Linked DNA regions of Drosophila melanogaster. The protein of the gene in region 2 interacts with the protein of the main gene of each other region in a biochemical or structural test. Each region holds a gene or a part of one and is shown on either strand. Other genes may lie near its edges.

Evidence for each region.
Region 1: of the proteins of eff (region 2) and CycD, one has a biochemical effect on the other in vitro, tested with the Drosophila melanogaster proteins (one study listed by BioGRID).

The regions. Positions count from the first base shown.
Region 1 is NC_004354.4:15,906,304-15,911,787, forward strand, and holds CycD (cyclin D), read right to left. Parts: upstream 3,374-5,484; 5' UTR 2,807-3,373; coding exon 2,234-2,806; intron 2,016-2,233; coding exon 1,794-2,015; intron 1,731-1,793; coding exon 1,556-1,730; intron 1,497-1,555; coding exon 1,351-1,496; intron 1,289-1,350; coding exon 971-1,288; 3' UTR 519-970; downstream 1-518.
Region 2 is NT_033777.3:14,738,162-14,743,318, forward strand, and holds the start of eff (effete), read right to left. Parts: upstream 3,159-5,157; 5' UTR 2,846-3,158; intron 2,780-2,845; 5' UTR 2,243-2,779; coding exon 2,219-2,242; intron 1-2,218. Other genes in the region: jvl (javelin-like), read left to right, coding at 4,017-4,430. UniProt on the Drosophila melanogaster protein: Catalyzes the covalent attachment of ubiquitin to other proteins. Mediates the selective degradation of short-lived and abnormal proteins.

The DNA.
Region 1 (5,484 bases), on a different chromosome or scaffold from region 2:
TTCGTTTCCAGATGGTATTACATATATCCGTACATATATGATATTTCGAATCGCAGTGCAGGAGGCGGACGAGTGCAGGAATGCAATAAAGCCAGTATTTTTTTAAAGCTCAAAACAAAAACCGAAGAAATATCTAAAAGGAAAATCGTTAATTGCAGTGTTACAATGCTTCTACATTGATGGTAAAAAAAAAATCGAACTATGTACTCACTCTAAAAACTTGTATGAACTAAACTATCCTCAGAGCAATGAATTATATGCGAACAAATATTATTTAGCAACGCAATGTCCGCAAGAAATTATACAAAAACCTATTCAATGATAAATATTATGTGTGTGTTAAGGTTATGGTCTTTAACGATTCTTGTTTATAGACGTTTGTTAATAAGAAAATAAAGAAAAATTAAATTATTCGCATTGCCTTTAACTACTTGGATTCGTTTGGTAAGCTAATGCGATTTATCTGAAAGTAAATTATACGAAAATATACATACATCATAGAGGGCAGAGAAGAAATTGCTTTTTTCTATCATTTATTTGCCAACTTATATAATTGTTATCCAAAGTTAACTTTAACATATTGTTTTTCTCTTTATGTTGGATGGTTTTTAAAAAAATTGCATTTAATAGTTCGTTCTTTTTTGGTTATCTGTGTAGGATTTCGAAAAGCTTATATACAAAAAAAAAATGTTGCTTTGCTGCTTACAATCAGTCTCGTTTTTATGTTTCATCCATTTCAAAGTTTCATGATGATTATTTAAAACTATTTTATACAAAATATTTAGGATAGCTAAAAATAATAACCCATAGTTTGGTAAAAAATAGTTGCGTACATATAAAATACATCGATTCAAATGTAAATAGTGTGATATTGGCCAATCCTATAGTGATCGGACTATTTGGATCCTATATATAATTTCAACTTAAGCCTGACATAACTATCATGTATGCATAACTATCATTTGACACCTCAAAATGTAACGTCTTGTATCTCGTTTTGAGCCTGAGCCTGCGCCTGCATCTTGCACGTGTGCGTCCGATGTGGCGCTGCGGACCCAAAGTTGTGCTGCTGCTGGTGTTGCTCCACGCACTCGGCAGGAGCTTTCGGTAGCGGCAAGGGTCTAATTGAGATTTGCGAGAGATGCTGCGATTGATGTATTTGGAAGCGCCTCTTGTAGTATAATGTTGACATTTCTTTTGGGTCAATATTCACTAGAAATGGCTCTAGATTCCGACTGTGCTCCTTAAAGATGTCCTCCATGTGCAGCATACAATCTCGCACCTGAGCCTGTGCATTTAAAATCAATTGAGTGGTGGTACATAACAACACTGCTCCCTTGCCATACTCACTTGCTCCACGCTGGTTAGATCGGTCATCAGACTCAAAAGGAAGTGTAGATTGTGTCCCGATCGCAGATGCCACTTTAGGCCATTCATTGACGCAGCTATGCTCGATGCAGCTATGGTGCTGGCCGAGAACTTGGCAAACTTATGTTCTTCAAAGGAAGGGGTGGGAAGTCAGTACTTAAGTTGGACTGTTTTGTATATGGCTTACCTTTTGCTGCCAACGATATAAATGCCTGAGCATGTCCCCGCACTTTGCCAATGTTTATGTCCGGAAAGTTTTTGCTGCCTATCGGCAGGCGCATCATCAGAAGCTCAAGGAAGTCCAAGGGAGTCACAGATGAGAGGTCCCAGCCCAAGCGACTTAGCACATACAGCTCCCATTTCTTGGGAATGAAATGAAACCGCATGTTCACCGAAAGGTATTGTATTACGAGAAAGGTACTTACAATCAAATCATCCTTGTAGATGCTGTTGTCCGTGTAAACAACGAGTAGATCCACCGAAAGAGCACGACAGCTGGGTTCACGGAGCTTTGAAGCCAGTAAGAGGCAAGCTGCGGCCAAAATTTGTAGCTGGGTCTTGCGTACTGATTTGCTCGAAAGAAATCGATCCATGTAATTTAATGCCAGTAATACGACCTCTTCCTGGCAATTTTCCTCGGCACACACCTGTGAACATGTATTCAATTAATGAACGAAAAGGGTAGTCAAAATATTGTAATGGGTGTGCGATAAGGACTACTAAAACAAACACTAATTAATGAAGTTCTTGGAAACTTCCATCTATTTGGTAATATTTTCTAACAGATTATAAATAATGCGTATATCACAGTCGGCTAGCTTGATATGATTTGGATGCTGTATCTACATTTCGTTTAATTACTCACTTCCATCATCCATTCGGCGACAATTTTGCGCATCGGTGGCGTAATATCCTTCTGGATGCTAAAGTACGTGTCGGGAATTTTGTGGTGCTTCTCCTCGACCTTGAGGAAATTCTCCAGACACCGATCCGAATACAATGTGGGATCCCCGATGGCAGTGTTCACGTTGTCGGTTGCGGGTGGATCGGCTGTTGTGGTCAGGCGTTCGTCGAGTCGTTGGCAATGTGACGTCGGTGGCTCCTGGCTGATGTAACGCGGATAACTTTGGATTGATTGGGTCGCTGTCGGTGGTGGTGGCGGCGGTGGTGGAGGTGGCGGAGGCGGCTCCAATTGTTCTGGATTTTTCGCAGCCGAGTCCACGGACGCGTATATATACACCAGCTCCTTCATATTGCACACTACGGCATTGTTCTGGGCATCCGGATGGGAATCGGATTCCGCGTCCCCCAAGGATGAACATATCGATGATTGATCCCGAATGATCGCCGGTGAGGACATTTGCTGCTGTCGTTTGTTCAAACGATACAATGATGGATCTGATTCGTAGACTATGATTTCCGAGCATAAAAGATCCATTATATCGGCCATACGTTCCGTTTAAAGCTATGGATTCTATGGATCGCCGCACTCTCAAGCCATTTATGTGTGCCGATTTATCAGGAACTTTGGGTAACTCCGATATGGGAACACTGCGTACAATAGGAAATGATCGTACATAAGTACATACATACATATGTATGTTGCAACCTTCTTTTCACATTTAATTCAAGTATTTGCTCAAGTATGGGCACACTGCGGGCATATGTGTTTAGTCCTGTGGGAGCACTAGAGTATAGCATATAACCCTAATACCTTGACTTATTCATATGCACATTACATTATTTACATATTTTTTCGACCTGCTCAGAAATAACTCGTTCATTTCACACTATGTACTTATGTACATGTACATGCATGGCTATGTACGATCAGCTCGAGAACAAAAGTTTTCACTTACGCCTATTCTCGGAATTCTGGTTATATACAAACGGCACAGCACTTCATGGAGTAATGTAAATTAACTATTAAAAAAGTATACTCGAAGTTGCACACGTTTGCCACTTAACCGGCGTGGACAAAGCATTTATGTGAACCAGATAGTTACACCTTATGGCAGAAAAAAACTAGTTCAGCATGCCGTCATCGGAGTTATATCTCTTGCTCACTGCGATCAGTAAAACATATCGATCTTCATCGGTTATTAGTATAGTACTATCCTTTGCAATGAAAGGCAAGCGAAATACGTTGAAAAGGGGAACCTCCTCATTGCGTTTCCAACTTGTTGCTTGTGAAATATGTTTCACTTAGGGTTGTTATTAGAACATTAAAAACTTATAATCCATCAATGGGTTTGATGGACTATAAAAGGGTCTTACCCTTATAATAAAAACAAAGTTCTTCTAATTGCACTACTTTTTTTCTTAAATAAGCTTTTTGTTATACGATCTTACGAACTTACTCTTGATGTGAATTTCACATCACTCAAGTGTTCCAATTACTCCAGCAAAATCAAAAATACTAAAATATGCTAGGGCGTTGCCACCCTGCATTCATGTAAGGATGGTACTGACAGTCGATCTTTCGGCATGTCATACATTTAACGATCGTGGTCCACGACAAAATGGTCAGTAATGCAAAACTCACTGGCATCACCCTACTAGGTTGAATCGTGATCAAAACACCCTTATTAAATTCCGTTTAAATGGCCGGAACCTGTTGATTAAATGGCAGGTTGTTCGAAAGAGTCGTAAATAAATGAATGCTGCACTTAAAGATCCTGTACCGCTTACAAAAAGCATTGAACTGCTGTTATTTTCTTTAGGGTTGTACTTAAACAGTTTTAGATGACAAACAGTAAGACATGTAAGAAACCTAAAATAATTTCACTAAAAAAATTCTAAAAGCAATTGTAAAAAAAAGATATAATCTTTGCTGCTTTGTTTAATAATTAATAAGATATTGATAAAAGGGTAAAAAGCTTTCGCGACTTAGGAATGCCAGGTTAATGATAAACAAAAGTAACCTGTGGATCCCTTCCGAGAAATGATGTACCGATATATGTACACATCGAGATTAAAATGGACTTCCATGTCCATTGTCCTAATTTCGGTGCTGCAGTTTTTTGTTGTTTTTTAGGAAAAACTGCAGCGTGGAGAATGCTTTCAATGATACAATCCTTAATTGGGTTCGCATTTTGCTAACTTAGTTGTTGCAAATTAATTTACCCTCACTCTCGGCACACAGACAAAAGCTCGCTTCCCAGAAAAAGCTTAAGGATTCAGAGAAAACTTTGAAACAGCACACGAGAGTTGAGTGGAACACTCGCGTCCGCCGACTTCGCTTTCCGTCAGAGGGATGCTGTAATCCCCTGAAATTTTATATTCGTTATATTCCCGAAGAAGACAAGAGACGTGCTGTACGAAAATAATTTTTCATTCACGTAAATTACCCACACAAATGTGTGTGGAACAATTAGCTGATTCAATTGTTCTCGCCCGCCACTTGCTAATTGGAATCGAAAAGTGTCAAAGTTTCAGGAGGTTCTTTTTGTTTAATAATACTGTGTTTAATATGCATATGTTCGCGTGTGTGGTGCTCATGACATACATACATAAATGCCAACAAAGTCCCAAATATCGCATTCATTTGCGAGGGGACTTCGCAGGACGTTATAAACACCTTTATACCACATTCTGGAAATGCCAAACGCAGTGCCAAGCCCACGCAACTTTATAATAGGATATACATTGAATGAAGTAGTGCCATGAATGCCGTGCCGCATGATATTTGATCCATTCACGGAGTCGGTCCTGGACCTACAAAGTCACAATAAACCTTCTGTTTAGTGAGACAGCGTAATGTGAAAAATGTTGAGGACGTACAAGCCAGGCATTTAAATTTATTAACTTACAATAAACATTTATGTAAATCATAAAAAACCCAGTGACACAATAAGTAAATAACAAAGACCAGAAGTAACCAAGTGCTTACAAATAAGATGAATAGAGTAAAATCTATTGAGTGACACCTACGCAAAGAACGAGTGTGCTTAAGTGTAACATATACACAACATATACATCAGGTGGGCGGGTTTTGCGCATAGTAACCCCCCTCCCCCAAGCCCAAAACTTTGCATTAACTTTATATTGTCCAAAACCTAGAGACAAAAAATCATTGAGTGAATTTCATTATTTTAAAAGTTACGCCCCGCCCCC
Region 2 (5,157 bases):
ACACACTCCAAACGGGGAGAGAGAATGAGGTGTAAGGTAAACCGGCAAAAAAAAAGAATATATATATAAAAAGAATAATGAAGATGAGCTGCGAAAGAGTAGCGCGACTCAGTGGAGAAGTAAGAGGAGGAGCAGCAGGAGGAGGAAGAATGAAGGAGAGTGAGAAGACTGAGCTTCAGTGTATGCGTGTGTTTGTAACGGCACCACAAAATCAGAGTGGAGCACAACAAAAATAGCCGTCGCGAAAAACACCGTGTTTCTTTGCCCCATCTCACTTACTCATTTTGGGAATTGTACCTGTTGAGCAAAAATAAATTACAAGAAATTGTTACATTTCTTTTTTCGTTGGGAGTCGGAGCGGTTATGACTCATATCAGACGAACAAATGAAGTAAAAACAAACACGCACACTTGTGCACAGCAAGAAAATTCGATAATATTATCAATATTAGACCAGGTGCACTACCAATACAAACTTCTATTTAATTCTTATTCGAATAATTAATATTGTGAACTTTAAGAATTGGTTCAGTAAGACTAAATGCCATATGCATTGGTTCTAAAGCCCATTTCGTTCAGTGTACGGTTCAAGTGAGCTCCGATCGGCGTTTAAGCCGTTCTCTCTCGCTCTTTAACTCTCTTTTTTGGCAAATGAGGCCATCTAGAGAAAAAAGGCTTTTGAAGAATTGACCACAAAAAGGGGGCGTGAGTGATTTTAAGAGTTTACTACAATGTATACTTTTATTTCCGGTTTGCCGCTTGCCATTTCGTTTTCATTTAGGCAGGCATTAAAATGTTATAATGGATAGAAAACTACGAAAAACGAGGAAAACTCAATGGCCATGACGCCGACGCAGGCAGCGCTGCTTTTGTCGAGACAGTCAGCAGACCCCCGCCCCACACATTCAAACACAAATACACACCACGCTCACACATACGCATAGATATGAACAAATTCCGCATTCGCTGCTCATTTTGTATGTAAATTATGCTTAATTATAATTTATAACTAATTATTTGGGGGCCCCCTTTTGGCTGACGGTGTTTTGCAACACTAAGCCCCGCTAGCACTCACACACTTGCGCTCTCTTTGGCTCTGCCCCATTGCGCGAGCGGGACCGAATGAGGCCTCAGCTGTCGCGGGCAAAGGGAATGCGCCAGGGCCAGAGCGAGATGGCATGCAATGGCCATAGCCAAGTGATGGCGAGACTTTGTATTTGCGAGCGTTTTAATGTGTGTGTGTGTGGGGTATGACTATGATAACCGGCTTCAAACGTAAAAAAAGATCCCAATTTGCCAAGTAACATTTCCACAACTTCGAGATATTACTAATGCTTTTGAGGAAGGCTGGGATGACTTTGAAAAAATATCGGGTTGTCAGGGCCTTGAACATTGGGGTGTAAAAAAGCATTTACTGGACAAGGACAAACGACGCGCAGGCACTTTAAAAATAATTATCGAAGCACGCACGCTAGAACCACTCTACCTAAATACATATATAAATATATATGCTTGGGGGCAGCACTATTTCTGAATTATCAGCGCAAAAAGTAGGGTTAGGTTAATTTTATACGCTTCTTGCTTTTGCTCTGTTTTATTTTTTGCTGGATCTTTCTGCGGCGCTGGCAGTGTGTGCGTTTATGTGTGACTGTTGCGAGGCTGAGAGTGTGTGCGAGTGCCGTGTACAGCGTGTATTGGGTAACAGCGCCCGTAGAGCTGCGAAAACTCCGCCGTATAGTTGCATTAATGTAAATGCATCCAGGTGCCCGGCACACACGCACACAAACAATGCACATTTGCATTGCACTTTCACGCACACGCATCGCACACACACTTATCCCACACTCTCGCAAAAGTAACGGAAGCGATGACTGCACTACACGTTGCCTTGCCCACCACACACACACATCCTTATACCTTTTTCACCACCCTCAAAATTTCTAATCTGCTCCTAATTACTAACTTATTAATTAAATGGTAACTCCACAGCTCATTTTCTCCCTTCCCTCTTGCACGCTTCTTTCCCCCCGCTTCTTCTTTCTTCTCCTCGGTTACTACCTACGTTTCACATTTCTTGCATAAAATTTTTCTCCCGTTGAAAACTGATGTCTGTTCGCTTTTTTTTTAGACTATCATTTTGGTGTATCGCAAAGGGTTCTGTTCTTTCTTTTTTTAGTCCGTTTCGCAAAGTTTTTTGAGATATTCCTTTTTTCACATACCTTATTGATTCTTTTTAACGCCATTTTCTGATTGAAATTTGATTTTCTGGGTTGTGTGTGTGTTTGGTTGGTTGTGTGTGTGTTTGGTTGGTTGTGTGCTGGTGTTGGTGTCTCGCGTATTTCTTTTGTTCTTCGCACAGAATTGGGTTTTATTCAATATATAATCCTCCTGCTTAGAATTGAACGAAAAACGAAACACAAAGCTGCGTTGCGCCTCTAGAACTTTGATGCTTAAATATGGCTCTTTCGGTTGAGTGTCCCTTGTCACGAAATAAAGCAGCACCAGCGCACTGCAAGTAAAAACGGCGACCCGACGAAGACTACGGCGACGATTATTTTTTCACAATCAATGCGGGGCCTTTCGACCGTTTGTGCGATAGAGACGACCGTTAGTGAGCTGAGAACGCAACGAAGCACAATCGTTACACCGAAGTGTAAGCCCGAGCGAGAGGAATGGTGTGTCTGTGTCGTGTGGTAGTGTTGTGAAGCGGAAGTCCAGCAGAGCAGTCCAGCTATATGACCTTTTCGCTAGGGGTGGCCAGATCGATTGGGTGGCAACGCCTTTTAGGTGAGGGATGAATCAGTTAATTACAATTTGATTGCCAATGCAAGACTCTTCATACTCACTTTAGTTCGGGAACAGCCAGAAGAAATAGTTTTACCGGCAGCGAGGAGGTGTTATATTTTATTCGAACTACCTTCTTATCGATGGTGCGTGCGCCCAAAAGCTTGCAACTTGTATGTAAATTTGTTAACACCCAACGTGTTGCAGGCTGCCGGAATGTTTTTACTGAGCAATTTTGAGATGTTGGTAATCCGAGTTCTTGAAAACTTTCCGACTAGCTACTGAGTTCTACAACTGAATTGACAGGGCGTTATTTTAAAATTTAAATTCACTCCAGAGCGCTGGTCTGGCAAGGCCGACGTGCCAATTCAGGATACTTGTCGATATTTTCCGTTGTGCTATCGATAGTTTTTGGGAATAACAGGCGTTAGTAGATTTTTAGTATTTAGATTTTATTATCATAAGGATGAAAATATTTTTAACAAAATAAACTGGTTCATTTAATTTAACTTTTTATTTTCTCACTACTCCAAATGGCGCTTCCGCTGTCTGAAACTGCCGTTATAATAGTATGAACAGTTAAAACAATCGACGGTAGCTGAATTTAATCAATGCAGCCCTCTTACCCTATACATCGATAGTATCGCATAAACATCGATTTTGGTTCCAGCTCTAACTTTAACTGTCTGCAAAATATTTCAAACAAAAGTGTTTGTTAATTAAGTAATATACTTAATATTAGTGGCTGTTTTGCTTCGACATTGATCGAATTGCGGTTGTGCAAGTGTTTTGTTTGATTTGTTGGCGTGTTTTTCCTAGTTTGGCGGCCCTTTGAACTCGTTCGTGTATCGCCATCTCTCTCCCACCCCCGCAATCGGCTTCGTGCGTATTTTTTTGTGAATTTTTACACAGAACTCACACTTTTGTATGGCCCAAGAATTTGTACAATATTTTTGCACTTGAAAAACAAGAAATAATGAAGAAAGCCAAGATAAACGCGACGATGTGCAAGTGCTAATCATTCAGTTTTGGCAAGCGCTGAACTTCGCTGACTTCTTGAACAGCAAAAAAGATGGAGGAGGATAATGCCAAGGTCCTAAGTAATAACAACAAGAACAACAGAAACAACAATAAGGGACGCCAGCAGCTGCAGGGACACGCCCACAGCTCCGCCACCGCCCACGCCTCCGTCGATATATTTATATTCGATTTATAGTAGCTGTAGTTGTAGTCATGCCAACAACAAAAACGCAAACACAGACAACAACAACTTGCAGCGAAGAGGAAGAAGCGGCGATAATACGAGAAAATTGCGATACGCCAATGGCGACCCCAGCAAATGCAACAACAGCAAACACAACAACTGCAGCACCCATAACAACAACAACAACAACAGTAAATACGCGCAGACAAGAAGAAGCAGCAGCAGTAGCTTCCACACCTAGTGTTACGAAAACGGCAACAACAACAAACATACTAGCCGCTGCAGCGGGATGCCACAAGCCGTTATTCTTCAGCCGCCGCTTTCAGGACAAACGGAACTTTAGCTCGCTACCGCTCTTCGTCTACGCGACCTCGCCATCAACGCACGCCCACTCAGCGGACGGAGTAGGCGTGGCCAAGGAGGCAGCCGCGTTTTGCCACAAGGTGAGTTTGTTGCACAAAGAACCAGATAAACTTGTAATATTAGGAGAACAAGGAACTTCTATAATTGCCAATCAAATATAATATATCCCCTTTAAGTTATGTATTATAAAATGTAGTATTTTATTTAAACTTTGATAATGCCATTTGTATGTATTTAGATTTAACCCCAAAACAGGAAAAGAAAACCAAAAATAAAGAATTCTGGTTGGAACAGAGAGTTTCCAGTTCGAGGGATTCGTTTGGCATGTCACAGAATTGTAATTGTAATAAAACCCCCATGGGTTTTAATACTCATTTTCTACCTTCCACTCTGCCATCTCTTTTTTTCGAGCAATCGCACCGCTCTTTCCGCTCTAAACTTGCGTAATGGATCACTTCCGCTGCACTTGCAACTTGGGTCGTGTCATATCTGAATATATAATTCCCGCCCAATTCATAGTTTAAACAGTAAGCTCCGCCTAAGAAGAACGCGCTAATAACTCCGTGGTTATACTTAAATGAGTTCTTGATCCAGATTATAAATTTAGATACCTAATATTCAAATAGATATAGCTTTAGAAAAGTTGTAAGTTTAGCATGGTTGGTTGTTTCGTTTGTAGCCACTAACTACTGTATTATATTTATAAACGTTCTGCTTGGCTGCCGCAGTCCGCCTATCTGTTCCTCTCGGAAATCGGTGCATGCAGAATCAGATCTCCATTGGAAATGCGTTTTTAATGTTAATCAC